Arabidopsis thaliana: one gene and its partners. The protein of the gene in region 4 interacts with the protein of the main gene of each other region in a pairwise test. Each region holds a gene or a part of one and is shown on either strand. Other genes may lie near its edges. The genes, in order: AT5G15040, ZR3, SNL3 and NAC050.

Evidence for each region.
Region 1: the proteins of NAC050 (region 4) and AT5G15040 interact in a two-hybrid assay, tested with the Arabidopsis thaliana proteins (one large-scale study listed by BioGRID).
Region 2: the proteins of NAC050 (region 4) and ZR3 interact in a two-hybrid assay, tested with the Arabidopsis thaliana proteins (one large-scale study listed by BioGRID).
Region 3: the proteins of NAC050 (region 4) and SNL3 interact in a two-hybrid assay, tested with the Arabidopsis thaliana proteins (one large-scale study listed by BioGRID).

The regions. Positions count from the first base shown.
Region 1 is NC_003076.8:4,869,101-4,873,100, forward strand, and holds AT5G15040 (Paired amphipathic helix (PAH2) superfamily protein), read right to left. Parts: upstream 1,642-4,000; 5' UTR 1,389-1,641; intron 1,176-1,388; 5' UTR 1,154-1,175; coding exon 1,047-1,153; intron 965-1,046; coding exon 808-964; 3' UTR 654-807; downstream 1-653. Other genes in the region: AT5G15050 (Core-2/I-branching beta-1,6-N-acetylglucosaminyltransferase family protein), read right to left, coding at 2,720-3,234, 3,394-3,509, 3,593-3,668, 3,757-4,000.
Region 2 is NC_003074.8:20,308,546-20,312,748, reverse strand, and holds ZR3 (Zim17-type zinc finger protein), read right to left. Parts: upstream 2,481-4,203; 5' UTR 2,396-2,480; coding exon 2,227-2,395; intron 1,600-2,226; coding exon 1,097-1,599; 3' UTR 895-1,096; downstream 1-894. Other genes in the region: AT3G54830 (Transmembrane amino acid transporter family protein), read left to right, coding at 117-180, 272-394, 467-510, 602-677, 766-848.
Region 3 is NC_003070.9:8,564,298-8,572,434, reverse strand, and holds the start of SNL3 (SIN3-like 3), read left to right. Parts: upstream 1-1,898; 5' UTR 1,899-2,056; intron 2,057-2,486; 5' UTR 2,487-2,507; coding exon 2,508-2,647; intron 2,648-2,733; coding exon 2,734-2,920; intron 2,921-3,006; coding exon 3,007-3,105; intron 3,106-3,181; coding exon 3,182-3,316; intron 3,317-3,405; coding exon 3,406-3,700; intron 3,701-3,797; coding exon 3,798-3,928; intron 3,929-4,006; coding exon 4,007-4,082; intron 4,083-4,170; coding exon 4,171-4,200; coding exon of another isoform or gene 4,201-4,225; intron 4,226-4,370; coding exon 4,371-4,585; intron 4,586-4,678; coding exon 4,679-4,833; intron 4,834-4,970; coding exon 4,971-5,098; intron 5,099-5,210; coding exon 5,211-5,465; intron 5,466-5,541; coding exon 5,542-6,186; intron 6,187-6,280; coding exon 6,281-6,366; intron 6,367-6,607; coding exon 6,608-7,219; intron 7,220-7,321; coding exon 7,322-7,422; intron 7,423-7,510; coding exon 7,511-7,649; intron 7,650-7,740; coding exon 7,741-7,893; and 2 more. Other genes in the region: AT1G24200 (Paired amphipathic helix (PAH2) superfamily protein), read left to right, coding at 58-197, 295-472, 558-656, 736-804, 1,158-1,262. UniProt on the Arabidopsis thaliana protein: Acts as a transcriptional repressor. Interacts with ERF7 to repress genes in abscisic acid and drought stress responses. The heterodimer represses transcription by tethering SNL3 to DNA.
Region 4 is NC_003074.8:3,262,350-3,268,049, reverse strand, and holds NAC050 (NAC domain containing protein 50), read right to left. Parts: upstream 3,703-5,700; 5' UTR 3,641-3,702; coding exon 3,421-3,640; intron 3,231-3,420; coding exon 3,201-3,230; intron 3,120-3,200; coding exon 3,051-3,119; intron 2,947-3,050; coding exon 2,669-2,946; intron 2,578-2,668; coding exon 2,392-2,577; intron 2,249-2,391; coding exon 2,157-2,248; intron 2,046-2,156; coding exon 2,000-2,045; intron 1,929-1,999; coding exon 1,269-1,928; 3' UTR 960-1,268; downstream 1-959. UniProt on the Arabidopsis thaliana protein: Transcriptional repressor that binds to the motif 5'-(C/T)A(C/A)G-3' in the promoter of target genes. Also binds to the 5'-CTTGNNNNNCAAG-3' consensus sequence in chromatin.

The DNA of each region.
Region 1 (4,000 bases), on a different chromosome or scaffold from region 4:
CGAGATATAAATAAAGGCGCCAAATGGTGCCATCTCTTCGTAACTTATTTGGGCCTATAATAAATAATGGGCTTTTATAGGCCGTAGTTAGGCCTTATTTAAGTATTCATCTCGCTATTCTTATTTTCTTTGTTTTAATATTTGACTTTTTGGATATTTTTGGTTACATTTGATCAGCAAATACAGCAACAATATGATGGAGAGAAATCTTTGTGATTTTTAGTATTTGTAACATCATACTGTAGAACCAATGTGATCATAGTGTAAGGCTATATATATAAAGAGGCCTTTTTTCATCCCTGAAGTTCTGTAGAATATGCTCTCTCTTTTATTTGACAGCTAAAAAATAAACATTAATAAAAAGGAATAAAATCGTTTTCACTTTTTTTTTGAATTGTTATTGTATCAGTTGATGAGAAAATACTGCAACGATATGATGAAGAAATTCTTAATGATTTTTAGTATTTGTAACAATCAAACTATGATCTCAATATAGTTCTTTTTTCAATCTATGATTTTAACTTCTCGTTAGAATATTACAAATTTCATATATACTTCAGTTTTTTTTTTCATTAAGAATAAAAAATAATAAGTAGATAATAATGCTTTTGCCGAAGGTCAAATTAAGTAAATAAAGAAATTAAGTGGACGTAAAGAAGATAGCAAAAGGTCAAACTTTATCATAGTGAAATTCCTACATGCATGGCAAAGCAAAGATACTCGATAAACCATCAAGAACTGAATAGAGAGACTAATTTAGAGATTTTGATCGTATCATTTGAGTAGAAAAAATATGACAAGATAATTTCAATAGTTTCTTGCAGTCGAGCTAAAAGAGTCTTCTACGTCATCATCAAGAGCTATCTTGTATCCAGTTGGCAAAAAGGTGTTAAATCCGATAATCAATTCGTTGTGCTCCTTGAACAACTCTTTCAATTGAGCAAACGCAGTATGACGACCAATCCTGTGAATGCAAGAAATTCTTTGAGCAAACTCATCAAAACCTTAAGGCTAAACCAAAAAAAAAAAAAAAGCAATCATCTTACCTTCGTGCCTTCAAATCTAACAAAATATTCTTGAACATATCATATTTTTCAATTTGATCATGAAACGTATCTTTCACTTCCATAAAGTATGCCCTACATTCAGCCATAATGTCTCTTCTTCTTCCATGCCTGCACCAAAACCCAAAGAACAATAGAGACAGACATTATAACATGTTCCTACACATTCACGTAATAAAGAAAACTAACAATTCGCCCACAAGCCAAAAGAGGAATTCAGAGAGTCGCAAGTTTTGAAAGTTTACAGTTATCTTTAGACAAGCAACAAGTAGCCCAAAAACAACCCACGATAGCACCAACACACTTAAAGATTAGGAAACTAACCTTCGAGACCTTGGAACGTTTATTGCATCAGGAGTCCGCTTGGAACGTTTATTGCATCAGGGATAAACAAAAGATAAACAATTAGAGAGGTTACTTGGAAAGATATGAAACAAATCAATCAGATCTTTGAAGCGAGAGCAGAATCTAGAAGAAGAAACACTTCCATCACCGACGATTATACATACATGTACCAGAAAATGTTCTAGGCAGATACGATTAAGCGTTGCGACTTGTGATGAGAAGAGACCCAAATCACAACGCATGACAAACAAATTATAAATAAAGGCGCCAAATGGTGCCGTACGTTTCTCTTCGTAACGTCGTTGGGCCTAAATTAATAATGGGCTTTTATAGGTCGAGGTTAGGCCTTATTGTAAGTATTCATCTGCATTTCTTCTTTGTTTTATATTTACTAATATGGATATTTTGTTACAGTTTCAGTTGATGAGCAAATACTGCCACAATTGGTCCGTATATGAAACCGTGACTGAGAATTTTAGACCAAACTCTGTTCTCAATTGTTTATTTGTCAGTATTCGATATGGATTCTTGTTAGAAATATAAATATATTTTTGCTTCTGCTATTTTTGTGACATTTTAATGAAATATATATTTAATGTTATGTGACAGCTTTGAATGAGAGCCATTATATATATTTTTGTGACATTTTACTATGTTCATTTGATAAGCTTCTTGCTTCTGCTATGATGATTTTTTGAATAAATTTTACATGTCAGACTTTTAGAGATTTTTGTTTATCATTAAGAATCTTTGATAATAAAAAATCAGAGCAGAAGTAATATAATCTTGACTTCTTGAGTAATATAATATTTCCAAAACATTTGATAAATCAAATTCAAACCAAATCTTTGCCACCAGTCAGTCACATGGAATGAGTAGTGACCATCAATAGGCCCTCATGTAATTTGCACTTAGTCACATGGGTGTATATCTATAAATTTAAAACAACAATATCAATGTGAGTTATTGAATCATGTATCAAATTAATTCAAAAGCAATAATATCAATGAAACACCTATATGTTAGTCACAATAGTCAGGTAACTTCATCATGCAAACAATAAAAAGGACATGACTAATATGTGACAAACCTATAAAATTGGTATCAAGTTGGAAAAGGCCAAACTTTAGGTCGGCAATAGAAGACAAATTCCAATAATCAATGATCTTTCCCGAAATTTCTGCACTTTCTCAAATGAAGAAAGTCCAAAAAGATCTCTATACAACCATATCAAAGTATCGGATAATCAATACAGTTCATTTGTGTGAAAAACCACGTAACCATCTCTATGACAAAACTCTAATTTGCCATTACCGGCATTGCCGTGGTCTGAAATTCTCAGTAGATAACAAATAAGTTATGAGTTTCTCGATCCGTTTAGCTCCAAGACCAGGTTTAATAACCGACGTATCACCAATCACCGCACACGGATCGCTCCCGTTTTCCCTCGTACCAATACACCAACCACCCGGAGTGACCATCCCGTGACTCCGAAACAATAGTTCCGAATCAATCTTATCGAGAACAGGCTCATCTCTACGGAATTTCCTAGCAAAAGGAGCGTTACTGTCCACCATTCTCTGGAAATCATCTAATGTAAGATGGTGAGGATGTTGCTTTGGAGGATTGTCCCATGAGATGAAATGTAAGTCACTGTTAACCGTTGTGTTGGTAAACTCTCGAGCATTGCAAATCACAGTGTGGAAGTAACCTTCTGGCGATGAAAGGAAGTTTGCGTAATACATTAACACAATTCGAGGAAGATTATCCCATCCCCATATGAAATAATCCACAAAAGGTCTAGATAACATCATCCACGCAGATCCTATTAACCAACAACATCAAAAAACCATTAGAGCCTAAGAATTGTTATATCACATCAATGAGTGTAACAAGGATCCTACATTTAAGGAAGACTCTACATTTAGACATTCCCATTATGTTGATTACCCAAAACAGGAAAGATTATGAAAAATGAAAGCACCTGTGAAGAGTTTGAAAGCTGTAGGCATACTTCTCTTCTGTGAAACCCAGAAAACATCAGCTTTCTTTGACATATACAAACCAGGATCAATAATTATAGGCTTTGCTCTATGAGACCTATACAAGTTTTTACCAAAATTATCAGAGAAAGTTGCCAAAAACAAACTGTTGTAGATTGTAATGTAGCTAGCTAAACTCACTCTTTCCAGCCAATGTTGCTTGTATGATCGATGAAATTGAGATCTCGAGGAAGATACGAAAACGTATGCAACAGATCTGAAAATCGAATCGACATAATAAACCTCAAATGATTCAATTAAAACAATAAACAGAGTCTGAGATTATAAGATCTAAATTTCGTTACCATCTTGTGTTACGAGAGGATAATCAGAGGCACTGAGATTGATGAACCAATCCCAATCACCACCTTCACGAAGCAAAATCGCTGCAGCGTGAAGTGTATTAGCCACCATAGTTGGACCACGATACGTAACGAAATTAGCCTTAACAATCATCCGAACATTTTGAAATCTCTGAAACAGAGTATGATTCGCCACAAAACCACTGAGATCCAATCGTTCCTCCGGTGAAGATTCCCGATCGAGATG
Region 2 (4,203 bases), about 17 Mb from region 4:
TTTTTTTTTTTCACCCTTCCTCTGCTTATTACATGAAAGTTGGGATGATTTTCACTAAATTTGGTAGCTAGCCAGGTGAGGTCATCTAAGAGTTTTTTTCCTTGCCTTTTTTGCAGGTTGTTAATCCATTTACCAAATATCCTTTATCAAGAAATATTCAGAGACTTTTCATTTATCTCTGTAATTTTGTCATAAGCTTATTCATAATATAAACTGAAAATTGTGTGGCCTTAATAGAAAGAAAGCACATATGCTTTGACATTATCTCCAGTTGCAATGAGTCTTGAGGAGTTAATACCATCAAACTATGGGAAGTCACGTTTCTACGCAATCGCCATTAGAAGTGCATTAGCCATCTCTACTCTGCTCGTTGGTCTTGCGATTCCCTTCTTCGGTAAGGACAAACGAAAAATATACATGTAAAGAAAATAAGTGTCACTTCTTTTGACACTCAGAATTCTTGCAGGCCTTGTCATGTCACTGATTGGATCATTCTTGACAATGCTCATTGTAAGTTACACATTTGTTTCATCCTTTTCTGGTTATGTAAAGCAAATTCTCATATTGCAGTTTCATAGTGAATTTGCTTAGCCTGACAAAGTTTCTGGACACAGACGCTGATACTACCGCCAGCTTGTTTCTTGAGCATCTTAAGGAAAAAAGTAACCCCTACTCAGGTATGGCCTGCTCACTTACTGATAACCAAACCGAATATCGAAATTCCTCAAACTGAAATCGATATAACAATCTGTGGTTTGTTTGCAGGTGACAATCTGTATCTTAATTATGACAGTAGGAGCAGTATGTTCAGTCATTGGCACATATTCAGCCCTTGCAAAGATCATTGAGAAGTTGAACACCTAAAACTGATCAATCTTGAGATTCTTATTTTGTTTCTCTTGAGATTTTGTTTCTGTCTTAAATCAATGGAACATCTCAACCTATATGGAACATTCCAAACACATAATTGTATTAAACATCTTCTGCATTTAAATGTTACCAAACAGTGAACTACAAGAAACAATTATAATACTGGAACATAAGGTGAAGTTCTGTTCCATAATGGTTAAGTAGCAAAAGCAAAGAAGATCACTCCTTATTCAGTAGAAATCTTTCCTCCAGCTAAATCTTCAGGAGTTAGGTTAAGAGAATCCATGGATCCTTTCTTGAATTCTTCCCCTTGAGAAGCAAGGAAGTCCTCCACGCTTCCTGGTTCTCCAAACCAACCACGACGGTCTGCAATCAAATGTAGATTATCACACCCTCCACATCGTACCACCACAACGCCGTTTTCATATGATTCTCGGCTCGCCATCTTCATAGATCTTGTATCACAGACCTTGCAAGTGAAGACCATCATGAAGTCATGCCTCGGGTTTATTTTTAACTGGGACTTGTACTTCACCATCATTTCCTCAGAGGGCGTCGCAGGGGAGGGAACTTTGGCCGATTCAGTAGCAGAGTTTGACGAGTTGCAGACATTGGTTACAGAAGCTTCATTTGCCTCACGGATTACAGATAACTGTCTCTGAAATAATCTTCCATAAACATGACTTCTGCTGAAGAGTGAGTTTGATAGCGACAACTGCTCTGTTGAGACTATTTTCAAAAAAAAAAAGATAATCAAGAAAGATCAATTTAACAGTAGTTGTAGTTGCACGAAGCTAAAACAGTCTGTACCATAACAGGACATCATAGGAACCTCCTAGGATAATGTTTGCATCAAACCGTAGACTAATGCTAACACATCTTAGTCAGGAAATATATAACCAAACTTGAAAACTTAACCAGCGTCTAGCTGAAATGCCAATGTTCACAGCTACTGCTTAATGCATAGAGATATGTTGAAGACAAAGCACTTATGTGAGCATTCATAACTTCAGGTTTCGTAGAAGCACTTCTCTAACTCCAAAATGTAACAGAGCAAAGACGATATTAGATGATATACACATGAGAATACGAGTACTCATCATCACTAATGCCCCAAATCTCTAAAAGCTACAAAAACAACCCTAAAACCAAAATCTCCCCAAAATCCTCTTCTAGTGTAAATTCAAACATAAAAACCACAAATTTACATGAATCTCAACCAAATTCATCAAAAGAAACATCAAGGCAAGTATAAATTACACAGATTAAGAGACCAGTTTAACTCTAGTGCCCGATTTTCAATAACTCTTTAATTTTTCTTAAAGATGACAAAGTTGAGAAGGAGAGAGATGAAACCTTGAGACAAAGGAAAACGATGTTGTTGGTTGCTGAAAAGAGACAAAGCGCGTCTCAAAGCAAGTAACCTAGCGGCCATTGACAACCTGAGGGAGAGGAGGAACTCGACGCTTCTATTTTCCGTGAAATTTTGGAATCGGAGCACAATAAAAGAAGCCTTTTTAATCATTAGAGTTAGTTTTCGTTATGGTCAAGTCAAAATCTAAACCCAGGTTCGAACCACTGAGTGAGCCACAAGTAGACCGACCTTTTTCTTCTTTTTTTTACGTGAGGAAAAAGAAATTTGTGAATTGAAATCTTATCTAGAAAAGAAAAAAGAAAAAAAAAATCAGAACAAGCAGGAGAATAATGTGTGTGATACAGGATATTGAGTAAGGCCACGTGGACGGCTGTGATTAGAAGATCAATGGACGGCTGTGATTCAAATTAAGTGTGCGTAGAGCTGAAGCTAATAAATATCAAGTGTCATCGTATTTTCATGTTATCGTTGAAGTTGTTGTTATTCCTTTCTCTCTGAAAACATTCCGAGATTCATCCTCTGCATAGAACGTCGATTCTTGCGAGGTGAATCCAGAAATCCCTTGTTTTATGAACATTGGATTTCATTTGTTATTTACATCGTAATAATAAGTAATCGGAGTTGTTGATGATTGCTTTGGTTGATTGATTGTGTTGTGGTGTGGTTTTACTGTATTAAAGGTATCAGAGCAAAGACGTTTCTCGGAGATGGTGATCGAGACTCGAGCTCAGGAGTTAGCTCAAGCTCGTCGAGAGAAGGCGTTAGAAGCAGAGGAATCGATGGAGTCACAGATGGAGAAGATCGAGAGCAAGATCGATGCTCAAAATCTGAAGATCGAGCGCCATATCTCGGAGATGTTTGAGGCGATCCACATGCTGTCTCCATCTAAGCAGTCAAATCTGGGTGAGACTCATCAAACAGCTCGTGCTTCATCCGCTTCAGCAACAGACGTGGATTACATGAGAAGGCAAGGTCACGCTAACAATCATTCGGGAGTAACAAGGTTAGGGAAGTTGGATTTTCCCAGATTCAGTGGTGAGAAGGTTAAGGAATGGTTGTTTAAGGTTGATCAATTTTTTGCGGTGGATCCTATACCTGAAGAGATGCGAGTGTCTGTAGTTTCTATTCATTTGGATGGTCTGGCTGCTACTTGGCACCAGAATATGATTGAGGATGAAGTGCAGGTTCCTGAGTGGGGTGTGTACAAAGCTAGGATCAGGGAGAGGTTTGAGATGGTTGGAGAGGATCCTATTGCTGAGCTGAAGAAGTTGCAGGAAACAGCTGCTAGCATTGATGACTATCACGCAAAGTTTGAGGCGATCCGGACTCGAGTAAGGATGACGGAGGATTATTTAGTGAGTGCGTATTTGGTTGGGTTAAGGATTGAGACACAGATGCATATCCGAATGTTTCAACCCCAAACGGTGCGGCAGTGTTTGATGTTGGGACGTCTCTATGAAACTGCTCATCCTGTGCAGAACAATGCGACTTCTTGGAAGAACAATAAGGCTACTTCAAAGGGCCAGTTCTCCTTTAAGAAAGACATGGAGCAGCAGGGCAATAAACCAGCGTTTCAGGAAAAACCAAGAGACACACAACAAAATCAGCCAAGGCGGTTCTTATCTACTGAAGAGATGAGTGCTAGGAGAGCTAAAGGATTGTGTTATTTTTGTGATGAACAATACACATCTGAACATTATAAGATTCACAAGAAAACACAATTGTTTGTTTTGGAAATGGAAGATGCTGAGGAAGTGTTCTTGGATGCAGAAGAAGAGCATAAGGAGTTAGTTGGGGAAGTAGCTCATATCTCAACTCATGCTATGGAGGGTATCTCAACTTACAACACTATGCGAGTTAAGGGTACAAGTCAGAAGAGATCCATTTTTATGTTGGTTGATTCGGGTTCCACTCACAATTTTATGGATCCTCAAATGGCAAAGAAGTTGGGTTGCTCA
Region 3 (8,137 bases), on a different chromosome or scaffold from region 4:
CACCTTTTTTTTTGGCTGCCTCTCTTTGAACAATAAAGCTTTCCTAAACTTCAAACCATGGTTGGAGAAGGAGGCGCACACAAGCCTACTACAAATGACGCGCTTAAATACCTTAGAGCCGTGAAGGCTAAATTTCAAGGTCAACGTGAAAAATATGACGAGTTTCTTCAGATCATGATAGATTATAAAACTCAGAGGTTAAAGTTCTTTCTACTTTTATGTTTGCATTTGGTCTTGGTTTAGGTAAAACTCCATGGTTTCTGAGAACTGATTACCGACTATTGTGTTGTATAGAATTGATATATCTGGTGTTATAATAAGGATGAAAGAACTCTTGAAAGAACAACAAGGATTACTTTTGGGTTTCAATGCCTTCTTACCAAATGGTTATATGATCACACATCATGAACAACCTTCACAGAAGAAACCTGTCGAGTTAGGGGAAGCAATTAGTTTTATTAACAAGATTAAGGTATATATGTTTATGTGTTATAAACTGTCCAAGGAAATTACTGCTTTTCCCTTTCCTACTCTCTTAGTTATTCATTCATTTGCAGACAAGGTTTCAGGGCGATGATCGTGTATACAAATCAGTTTTAGACATTTTAAACATGTACAGAAAGGATAGGAAGCCCATCACCGCGGTCTACCGGGAGGTAGGCTCATTGATTCATACTAAGTTTTTTTTTTTTTATTGCTAATATTTTACTTAGTTTCACACGTTTATCTTATCAGGTTGCCATCCTATTTCTAGATCATAACAATTTGCTTGTGGAGTTTACTCACTTTCTGCCTGCTACTCCAGCTACTCCAGCAACAGCCTTGTTGCATTCACAGTTTTGCATAGATCATCCTGATTTGCTTGAAGAGTTGGATTGCTTTCTGCCAACTATTTCTCAGAGTTTTTTGTGACGAAAGGATTGCTATGTTACTTCAATCGCTTCACATATAAGTAGTTTTTTTTTTTTAAAGTTACAAGTCAGAGATAATAGTAGAGGTTTTTTCTTTTTAATATGCATGATTAATAGCTTTCTTTTCCCTATAAATTATAGCCACTATCAAAATTCAAAATTACCATCATCTATAGTTATTCAATGCTTTTTTTTTTACCTAGTTATTTCAATGCTTACCTATGAGTTTACTATGTGTAACATGAGGATAAGGGTTATCGGAATTATTCTACGAACAAGGTGACAAAGTTTTCGGTCTACCGGAAAGATAGTAATGCCGATAAAAAAAAAATGAATTTAAAAGGCGAATAATATGTTCCGTTTTTATGGTTTTAATCAAGTTAGAGTTAAATTATTCTTCTATTAATGTTAGCCAAATATTATTTTTTAGATTTAAGCAAAATCTAACCGTGTAATGTAATATAGATTCCATTTACATCAATGATTTTAGAACATTTTTTCCCCATTAATAATTTTGATAGGTTTTGCATTAAGTAATTAACTTAGAAATTTTAAGAAAAAACATCTATGTTGACCAAAATAAAGAGAAAAAAAACATCTATTAATAATATGATTAATCATCTAAAACTTTTTAATTACAAAATTATTTCCAAAAAAAATGAATAATTTATTTTATATCAAAAATTTTCAAAATTAAGTATGTCTCTCTCACATACCAAAGGAGATAAAAACTTCCAAAAGAAAAAAAATGTTAAAAATAATAAAAGAAGAAGATAAATTATAAGTCTCCTAAAATGATACAACCAACAAAAGGAAGTAATAAAAACAAGAAAATACAACTTTGATTTTTATTTTATTTTTTGTCAACAGAAAAATGAAATAAGTAAGTAAACGAAAAATTTAGCGAACGAGAAAGTGTATTAAATATGTAGATTTTAATTTACTTAAGAAGACGTAAAACTCCTTTGAGAGAAATCTCAATCCTTTCTTCATAAAAACATAAAACTCTCGTTTGCTCAGTGAGTCTTTTCTTTCTGTCTGAAAATTGTTGAATAGTTTTTGTCTTCTCAGCTGTTTCGTCGGAGGAAGCTTCTTCTTCTAGACTTCTTCTTCTTCTTCTTCTTCGTCTTCTCTGAATTTCTTCGGTAAACTCTCTAACACATAAACGATGATGATCTTCTTTCGTTTTTTATCCTTTCTGTTTGATTTTTGGGTATTACAATTTTAATCGTGAACTGAATGTGAAATAATCTGAGGATTAAGTTAAGATCGATTTTTTCTGGTCCGTCTCCTTTTGTTTTTTCTTCATAAATTGTTTCTGTAGCTGCTAGATCTACAGGTGTTGCTTATTGGGATGAAATTCAAGTTCGGTTCTTTGAATTTTCCTTGTTTATGTGATTGATTTTGAGTTTTACTAGGTTTTGATTTGTAGATGAACATGAAGAAAGTTGTTTTCAGCTTTTGTTCTTTTGCTGAATCCCAAATTTTACTTGAATTCTCTAAAGAAACGTTCTTTGGTCTTATGAGATGTTGAATAGCTTTCTAAATGATCTGTTTTTTTTAATGGTAATGAAGCTCTGTTCAACTTCAAACACCATGGTTGGAGGAGGAAGTGCTCAGAAGCTAACTACAAACGACGCTCTTGCATATCTTAAAGCCGTGAAGGACAAATTTCAGGATCAACGTGGAAAATATGACGAGTTTCTCGAGGTTATGAAGAATTTTAAATCTCAAAGGTATAGTTTTTTTCTTCTCCTTGTTATGTTTAGGTTAAAAACTTGGTATCTGAGAACTGATTGCTTAATTGTGTTTTTCATTGTAGAGTTGATACAGCTGGTGTGATAACTAGGGTAAAAGAACTTTTCAAAGGACACCAAGAGTTGATTTTGGGGTTTAATACTTTCTTGCCTAAGGGTTTTGAGATCACACTTCAACCTGAGGATGGACAACCTCCACTGAAGAAACGTGTTGAGTTTGAGGAAGCTATTAGCTTTGTTAACAAGATTAAGGTATATATATGTTTATGTGCTAAACTGTCTCAAGGAAATTACTGCTTTTCCCTTTCTTACTCTCTTCGATATTCATTGATTTGCAGACAAGGTTTCAGGGAGATGATCGTGTATACAAATCATTTTTAGACATTTTAAACATGTACAGAAGGGATAGCAAGTCCATCACTGAGGTCTACCAGGAGGTAGGCTCATTGATGCTGTTATGTGTATCTTTTTTTTGTTGCTATTCTGTACTTAGGTTTTACATGTCTATCTCAGGTTGCGATCCTATTTCGGGATCATTCAGATCTGCTCGTGGAGTTTACTCACTTTCTACCTGATACTTCAGCAACGGCCTCTATTCCATCTGTTAAAACTTCAGTTCGTGAGAGAGGGGTTTCTCTGGCTGATAAGGTTCTTCTCAGACTTTTATTTTCCTAGAAATACAATGTTCTATATGTCTAATCTTTTATTGAACATCATTTGATTGGAAATTGTTGCAGAAGGACCGGATCATTACTCCACATCCTGACCATGACTATGGTACTGAACATATTGACCAGGACCGGGAGAGACCTATTAAGAAAGAAAATAAAGAACACATGAGAGGTACTAACAAAGAAAATGAGCATAGGGATGCCAGAGATTTCGAACCACATAGCAAAAAAGAGCAATTTCTCAACAAGAAGCAGAAACTACATATTAGAGGCGATGATCCTGCTGAAATTTCCAATCAAAGTAAACTTTCTGGAGCGGTTCCTAGTTCATCTACTTATGATGAAAAAGGTGCCATGAAAAGTGAGTTCTCGTTTTATGACAACTAATTTGAAAGATAAGGAGTGAGTTTGTCGTTCGCTATTCCATGTGTACTTATATTTGTTTGATGTGATGTCAGGTTACAGTCAAGATCTAGCTATTGTCGATAGAGTAAAGGAAAAGCTTAACGCCTCAGAGTACCAGGAGTTTTTACGTTGTCTTAATCTCTTTTCAAAAGAGATAATCAGCCGACCAGAACTGCAATCTTTGGTATGAATAAATAAAATGCTTAAATTTTCACTGTGGCATTTGTTTGCAATGATTCATGAACATTTGTGCTTGTATCAGGTAGGGAATTTAATCGGAGTATATCCTGACCTCATGGATTCCTTTATAGAGTTTTTGGTGCAATGTGAAAAGAATGGTAACGAGGCAAATCTATGTTTCTCTCTTCCTACATTCATTGATTTCAGAAAAAAGACAGATTTGTAACCTTTTGAATCTTCTTGCAGAAGGACTGCTCTCTGGTATTCTGACTAAGAGTAAGTCTACTTATCTTTTGCAAGGGTACATGAATCTGATGCTGAGATATATTTGAAGTATTCACGAGTAGTGAAACTACACAACTCCACTATGAAATTTGATCTTCTTTCCAGATATATCCATTTCTAGTTCTGAAAAGAAAACAAATCCATTCTAAACTATACTGCAGAATCCTTGTGGAGTGAAGGCAAATATCCTCAACCGTCACTGGACAATGATAGAGACCAGGAACATAAGAGAGATGACGGGCTTAGAGATAGAGATCATGAAAAGGAAAGGCTTGAAAAAGCAGCTGCAAATCTGAAATGGGCAAAGCCAATCAGTGAACTAGATCTCTCGAACTGTGAACAATGCACTCCTAGTTATCGGTTACTTCCAAAGAATGTATGTGGCTGCAGCCTTTTATATGTGGATCTACTATTCTTGAGTTCATCTTTTGTTTCATTAGTCTAATGTAAGACATTATACTTTTTGCAGTACCCAATTTCTATTGCAAGCCAGAAGACAGAGATCGGTAAACTGGTTCTTAATGATCACTGGGTCTCCGTCACATCAGGAAGTGAAGATTATTCATTTAGCCACATGCGTAAGAACCAGTATGAAGAGAGCCTCTTCAAATGTGAGGATGACAGGTTGGTTAATCAACTTCTAATGGTGGACTGGAAACCTATATTCCATACTTTAAAAAAAAAAATTGGTTACTGACCTGTTATTGTGAGCCATTTTCTGTGTCAAATTGTGAGCCATTATTCCTCTCTTTATGCTATAGGTTTGAGCTGGACATGCTATTAGAGTCTGTAAATTCAACGACAAAGCATGTGGAAGAATTATTGACAAAAATTAACAGTAATGAACTGAAAACCAACAGTCCCATCCGTGTCGAGGATCACCTCACAGGTAACATAAGCTGGTGTAAAACAATAAGCAGCATGGATGTTAAATCACTAGCAGCTGAGCTCTTTAAATTTTTTTTTTTTTTTAATGGATTGCTTTGTTACTGTCTTTGTAGCTCTAAACTTAAGATGCATAGAACGGTTGTATGGTGATCACGGGCTCGATGTGATGGATGTGCTGAAGAAGAACGTGTCTCTTGCTTTACCTGTTATCCTAACACGTTTGAAACAGAAGCAAGAAGAGTGGGCAAGGTGTCGTTCTGATTTTGACAAAGTCTGGGCTGAGATATATGCTAAGAATTACTACAAGTCGCTTGATCATCGAAGTTTCTACTTCAAACAGCAGGATTCAAAGAAGCTGAGCATGAAAGGTTTGTCCGTAACCTATTACACACATTATTCTATTATATCAAGCAAGTGACTTTATGTACTATATTTTTTCTGTAGCATTGTTGGCAGAGATAAAAGAGATTACTGAAAAGAAGCGAGAGGATGATTCACTTCTTGCATTTGCAGCCGGAAATAGACTATCCATTTCCCCAGATTTGGAGTTTGATTATCCGGATCATGACCTTCATGAAGATCTTTACCAGCTGATCAAATATTCGTGTGCAGAAATGTGCTCTACCGAACAGTTAGATAAGGTAATGAAGATTTGGACAACTTTCGTGGAACAAATATTTGGTGTTCCTTCTCGCCCTCAAGGTGCTGAAGACCAAGAAGACGTTGTCAAGTCCATGAACCAGAATGTAAAGAGCGGTAGTTCAAGTGCTGGCGAGAGTGAGGGAAGTCCTCACAATTACGCTAGTGTTGCCGACTCTAGACGCTCAAAGTCATCTCGAAAAGCTAATGAACATAGTCAGTTGGGGCAAACTAGTAATTCGGAGAGGGATGGCGCCGCTGGTAGGACATCAGATGCCTTATGTGAGACTGCTCAGCATGAGAAAATGCTGAAGAATGTAGTTACGTCTGATGAAAAGCCTGAAAGCAAGCAAGCTGTTTCTATTGAGCGTGCACACGATTCAACTGCTCTCGCTGTGGATGGATTATTAGATCAAAGTAATGGAGGAAGCAGTATAGTACACATGACCGGTAACACCTCAAAATCTTGCTTAGAAGTTAGTTCTCTTGGAATTTTTCATTTTCTTTGTACAGTTAATGAATAGTTTCCTCTTTACTTGGTCAGGACATTGCAATAATAATCTGAAGCCTGTGACCTGTGGAACAGAGTTGGAGTTGAAAATGAATGATGGTAATGGGCCAAAATTAGAGGTATAGTTTCAGTGAAGCACGTTTTAGTCCCATCATCTTATATTTTGATCTGATACTTTCTATATAGATGACTCATTTCAAATGAAGGACCGAATTTTGTTGATATGGAACAATATCTCCCATTGTTTGCACTTGGTGCTTAGGTCCTTCATATGGAACTTAGATAGTTTTAAAATTTGAAGTTACACACCCTTAGTTCTGTGTTAACCAAGAGGTGGTACTGATAAACTTTGTCTCACAGGTTGGTAACAAGAAGTTATTGACAAATGGGATCGCGGTAGAAATAACAAGTGACCAAGAGATGGCAGGAACATCCAAAGTTGAAAGAGAAGAAGGTGAACTTTCTCCAAATGGAGACTTTGAGGAAGATAATTTTGCAGTTTATGCAAAAACTGATTTTGAGACCTTCAGCAAAGCGAATGATAGTACTGGAAATAACATTAGCGGAGATAGAAGTAGAGAAGGGGAACCATCTTGTCTGGAGACAAGGGCTGAGAATGACGCTGAAGGTGACGAAAACGCCGCAAGATCATCAGAGGACAGCAGAAATGAATATGAGAACGGTGATGTTTCTGGAACGGAATCTGGTGGTGGTGAAGATCCGGAGGATGATTTGGATAACAATAACAAAGGAGAAAGCGAAGGTGAGGCTGAATGTATGGCTGATGCACATGATGCTGAAGAAAATGGGTCTGCCTTACCCGTTTCAGCACGATTCTTGCTGCATGTAAAGCCCTTAGTAAAGTATGTTCCTTCAGCTATAGCTTTGCATGACAAGGACAAAGACTCTCTGAAGAACTCCCAAGTTTTCTATGGAAATGATTCGTTTTACGTGCTTTTCAGGCTGCACCGGGTAAGAGCTAAAGATCATATACAGTTTGAAAAAATTATAAACAGTATAATCTAAAGTACAAAGAGTTTTCACTAGCTAACTTTACGCTATTACTCTTGACAGATATTGTATGAGAGAATACTATCAGCAAAAGTTAACTCATCATCCCCGGAAGGAAAGTGGAGGACCTCAAATACCAAAAATCCTACTGATTCCTATGCTAGGTGAAATTTGCTTTTTATTGCAGAGATTGTGTGTGTTTCTGGGATTCATATGTGCTCCATACTTATAACTTTAATTAATGTGGAACAGATTCATGACTGCACTCTACAACTTACTTGATGGTACATCTGATAATGCCAAGTTTGAAGATGACTGCCGAGCGATAATCGGGACTCAGTCTTATATTCTCTTCACATTGGACAAACTGATCCATAAATTCATCAAGCATGTGAGTATTTTTGCTCTTTGATGTTTTCTCTATGTATTCACCTCTCTATCTTTACTTGCTTTTTACTAACATACGTGTGGTCATTCTTCAGCTACAAGTAGTAGTAGCTGATGAGATGGACAACAAGCTTCTTCAGCTTTATTTTTATGAGAAATCCAGAAGGCCTGAAACGATTTTTGATGCTGTGTATTACGATAATACCCGTGTCCTCCTCCCTGATGAGAATATTTACCGTATTGAATGTGTAAGTTTTTGCTGCATCTTACATTAGCTACTTATATTCTGTCGATGCACTGCTGATCATGCTTTTGGACTCCAAAACCTCATGTGTATGCAGAGATTATCAACCCCAGCGAAACTCTCTATTCAGCTTATGTGCAACGGTCTTGATAAGCCCGATGTGACATCTGTATCCATTGACCCGACCTTTGCAGCTTATCTCCACAATGACTTCCTCTCCATACAACCAAATGCAAGGGAGGATCGCA
Region 4 (5,700 bases):
TTCTAGGGTTTTCTCAATTTCCCTTTCACCAAACCTCACCTGAAGAACAAAAACACAAGTTGGGCAGATGGTTTGACGAAGAAGAAACCAAAGAGATAAGCACAAGATTTGAGGTACCTTCAATTGCAAGAAAATTTTGTCTTTCTTTTCGCGTTCCCAGAAAGGCAGGCTAGTAGAGAGCAACAAAAAAGTATTTTGGATTGCGATACCAATTTTCGATTTACATTTCATTATGTCGCAGTAATAAACCCTAGCAAAATTTTACTGCGTAGCTTTTTGTAGTAAATTATACTTGGGAGTAAATAATGAAAAGTAATTTAGTAAATTACACTTTCGTAGTCATCTTAAAAGTAAATAATGTTTTTTTACAACTCTCGAATAAAGAACAAACCTACCAAAAAGTACAATCATTCAGGGTTCCGTGTGGAAAAAAAAAAGACAGGTTCCGTATAATAGGACGATGTAGTTAAAAGTAAAATATAAACACCAAACTCTATAACACCTACGAAATTCCATTGCCTAGTAAGATATGAAACCATTTCGAAAATACGTCTGTGATCAAAACTTCTTCTTGAAAACTTAATGGGAGAGAGATGGAATCCAGGCTTGAATCGTACCAAGCGCTTTTCGCTTTTAGAGAAAAAACAAATAATTGCAAATTACGTGTAACAAAAGTCTTCTAACGTCGTTGACGGAACCACATTCCTAAATCGTAACGCTGAATTAGTCAATGACGATTATACCCTCAATCATTTCCACTAATCACGACTTTACCTAAGAAGCTCTCTTCCCTGTGGACTGTGGAGACAGTCACACAGAAACATCAAGCAACAGAGTGGTTCTTGTCCGGAAGACCAGAAGGTCATTTCAAATGACAATGACGATTATGCCCTCATATCTGACCACTAATGATTACCCCAAGGAAAAAGCTTTCTTTATGGAGACTGAACATTTCTTGAGAGGAAACCAAACAAAAGCGAGTTCTTGTCTGAAAAGACTAGATAGATAGATGATAATATACGACAATGGATCAGCCTGAAAATGTTCCCAAAAGATGCAGAAACATCCAAAGTAAAAAAGGATAAAATAAAAAGACCTAGTTGGTTGGCTCCGTTCCGTTTTATCCTAATTTTACAACAGAGATTCATAAGGTTTCTGATCCGTCTGAAGAAGCTACATCCATAGCTCATACTATTAAGAAGATTACAGCTAAGAGGCAAAGAAGAAGAAGAAGAAGAAGAAGACACCTGGAGAGATGTTGCGGTGGTTTAACTAGCTTGTCCACTGGCGTTCTTCTTCTTAAGTTCCTCGTTCTCCTGACGCAGCGCATCGATTCTTGACTGGAGAATGCTGATCATAGCCTCTGCACTCATCATCTCAAGCTTGAAAGTTTCTCTTTCAACAGACATCTGGTGAACCTCCTTCTGGAGATCATTAACCTTCTCTTCAGGAGATGCAATTGGACTAGGAGGAGAAGTTTCCTCTTTCTGCTGGTTTTCTTTCTTGTCGGAGATACCCATAAGTGAGAACTCAAGCAATGCAGAGATGGCAGTGTTGGTAGCAGCAGCAGCAGATGATGAGATTAAGGTGGTTGTATTGTCGACGGTTGTTATTGTGGACGAACAATGGTCCTGTGTGTTCCTGCTTGAGTTGTTGTTGGACTCGTTTTGGCGTCTACGTTTGTATTGCAGGAGAGGTAGTGGAGCTTCTTTGTTGAGAATGCATAGAGAAGGAGGACGCTCATCTTCTTCTGCGTGCTCGCGTTTGAGTGTGTCCTCATCTTCTTCATAACCACTATGGTTGTTACTCTCCTGTGGCTTGAAGGCACTCTCATGATGATTCTGTTGGTTAGGTTCGATGTCCATTGGAGTAGCATCTCTCGGTAGCTCGTTGATGTTAATGAGATCCTTGCTTGCTGAATGCATTTCCTACAACAAATTACAAGTTATGTGAACCCCAACAGACATAAAATATCTCAAACCAAAACGCGTTGATCGACTTTGCAGATTAACCAAAACACAATAAATATTTCTCTTGTTGAGCACCTTTAATGCCAAACGAAGATTGTAAGTCTGAAATATCATGTAATCAAAGGATAAATCTCAAAGAAAAAGGACCATAAAGAAAAATTAGATATCTTGTGAATCAAGAGAGACCTTTCATTAGATAAAGCTGTAAGGTTGAGCTGAGTTCTACAAAAGGTGATAGCAAACTTAATGGAATTGTGCAGTTTAAGTAAATCAGCCCACTGAAACAGCACTTAGAGAAGCAAAGAGCTTTTGCAATAAGAAATATAATATCTTGTGAATCAAGAGAGATGATTCACATTAGAGGGATGTATCACAGAGGTTATGCATATAAGAAACATTTGAGTATAAAGAAAGTACAAACCTGGTCCATCTGGTTGTTTCCATTGGCTTGTGGTAGAGCCTCTACCCTGACCCTAACGTCTATTCCTGGAATCAGAGCTCCTCCACCATCAGCCCATTCTTCTTCCATGAATGGCGCATATCTGTTCCCACTTGGTGGCCCAATGTTATTCTTGTGAAACACTCTGCACAACACATATGCATCCTGCTGCACCCAGACAAAGAAGTAAGATAAGATAGGATTCTTACAAAATGAGATAACCCCAATTCAAAAGTAACTCTTTTGGACAACATAATACCAGCAGGCTTCCGTTAGTTTCAGTTTCATATTCCACAAGGCGATACTCGTGCATGACCCAATTAGTCCGAAGGCCGTCTGGAGCACGCCCGCTGTGGAAAACAAGCGTCTTTTTCATACCGAGCAACTGAATATCCCGGCGGATTTCTCTGTCTTTTCCAGTTGCTTTCCAGTACCCTTTGTTAGTTGCTCGATTCATCCTAGCACCATTACCGTACTTCTTATCTAACGCACTGAAGAAGTACCATTCTTGGTCCCGAGTTTTCAACTTCGAAAACACTGAAACACACAACACATCACAAGGTTTTTTTTCTTTCAGATCATACTTGAGAACACTTCAGATAGCCAAACACACAAGCAACAAACTTCATTTCCTGATCCACAAGCAAACATAACTGTAGCACAAGCAAACATAACTGTAGCACAAGCAAACACGAAATTCTTAAAGCAATCTGAAGAAAATTCGACTTTCTTCAGTTAAGAAGTCAATTGGATGGAATGTCTTCACAGTGTTAAAGCCTAATTGCCTAAACTTAGCGCCAGGTACGAACAGAGAATCTTCTCTGCAACAAAAAATTTCCCAGAAAACGAATCGGAGCACGTAAAAGCTAAACTCATTTCCCAGAATTGAGCCAGAAGACGGAACAACCAATAAGCCCAGGCGACAAAAATCCCAAATCAGAAGCATCAAATTCACAGAAACCCCCAAATCATAGAGATAAGCAGAAATGAAGAAGAAGAAACCTAACGAACCTGCTAAATCCCAGGGCTCATGCTTGTAGATATCTACCTCTCCAATCGCATCGAAGCGTACAGGTTTACCCAGAACCTTCCTCTTCAAGTAATAGCTCACGAGTTCCTCATCAGTCGGATGAAATCGAAAGCCAGGAGCAAGCGAGGTAGCCGACACAGCAGTACTGGGCGCAGTCGCCGATGGCGGCGAGGACACAACAGCCAGAGATTCGCGACCCATAAAAAGAAAAAAAAAAGACCGTATTTGTTTCTAGGTTTTCTTCTCAATTTTTTCAGACAAACCAGAAATATAGTTGTCAAAATGTTTTTTTTAATATGAAACCAGACAAACCAGAAAAAGAGAAGCAGGTACCTTCAATTGCAAGAAATTTGCTTTCTTTTCGAGTTCCTAGAAGGCTAGAAAAAAAGTAATTTCGGATTGCGATTACTATTTTTCATTTTCAATTTTAATAATAATTTCTCATTTTTGAGTGTTGCAGTAATAAAACCCTAAAAAATGTTACTGCTTAGCTTTTTGTTGTCGTTCTATGCAGTAAAATAAAGGAACCACTAGTCCTAGTGTGTGGTCTGAAAAGTAAGTATCCAACGATAAATATTTTTTAAAAAGTAATATGTTAGACAGATGATGAAAAAAATAATGAAAAATTAAATATTGCTTATGTGATTAATAACTCTTTTTAAAAGGTAAAGTATTTTTTTAAAAGATTAGAGTTTATTTGTTTCCTTTAATGTTAAATGCATTGTATACATCTTTAGTATAAAAATCTTATATTGTATTTGATAAATTATTGTAGTTCAAAGATTTACAAACGCTAGGATAAATAGAAAATAATCTGGTTGGAAAATATGTAATGGTTTTGTGCTTATCAAAAGTTAAATGCTGACATGTACAGTAAAACCTCTATAAATTAATAACTTCTACAAATTAATAAATTATTAAGATTCCAAAAACTAGTATAAAAAGTGATATATATCGATAGATTAATAAGATAATAATTATTTTGAATGTTCTATGTAAATATATGGTCTCATTAATATCATAAATTAATAATTATATAAAAGTATCAACTATGTATATTTATTATATGTAAAAATATTCTTTAAAATTTATTTTTAATATTTTTTTGCTTAAATTTGTATTATTTTTGTTTGAAATTCAGTTCTAATAGTTTTACTATATCAAAAAATTTTGGTATTATTTTCTATACATGAAGTTGACCAAAAAAGAAGAATTAATGAGAATAAGATAGAAGGTGAAAGAAAATAAAAAAGGAGTGACAGATACGTTTGCTTGCAGGAGGATACTTTACCAATAAGGCAAGCTAAAGGGGAGGAGAGACTTGGTCCACACGAATCATCATCTTTCCCATTTTCTGTTACTATTTATTATTCTTCTTTTCTCTATTTATTTTCTAGTACAAGTCCTCTTCAAATTTGTAATTCGTAGTTTGGTTTTCGTTTAAACCATTTGCAATTCTCAAATATAAACATTAACTACGATTTGAACTTGAATAATTTACTTGTGGGGTTTGTATTACTGTTTAAGTCAAGGTGACAAAGACAAAAGGTTACTTTCTTCTCTCTTTTTTTCATCTTCTAGTAAAATGGAATATTTAAAACAATATTATTCGACATGTTGAATTTTGTTGCTGTCGACATTTCGATATTGAAATTCTATATAATTATGGTGTACGGGGGTGGAATTGATGAGGCGTACCAGAAAACTATATGATATTTTTGCACTATTTTCTTCTTTTTTGGTACGCTATGTCTCTTGTCTCTTATGCTTTGTATGCGTAACTAATTCGAAGGCAGAAATTAAAACGAAAAATATCCAACTCTTACTTTTACACATATTATTATGAAACTAATAAAGAAAGTAAGAGTAAAAGAAAACTCTATTTTATTTATTTATTTATATAGGTTGTCAGCTATCTGACACCACTGTCTCCAAAAAGGACAAAATGCTAAAATATCAAGACTTTTTTTTTTGGCTCAAAAAAAATATATGGTTTGTGCCTCGTGTTTAAGCAATGGGCCAAATTTCTTCTAAGTTAGAATATTAAAAGCCCATGATTTATTTGTAGCCCATTTCGGTGACGGACGGGTGTAAATCAAGCCCATGCTAATTTATTCTTCTTTTTCTTATTTTCATAAACGCAGTTTCTCGTATCGAGACTAGAACAACATGCATTCGTCTTCACGAATGAAACACTGAATCTTGAAGAGCTGAGAATAGTGTGTTATGAAATTTCAATTCCGGTAACAGGTTGCATATTT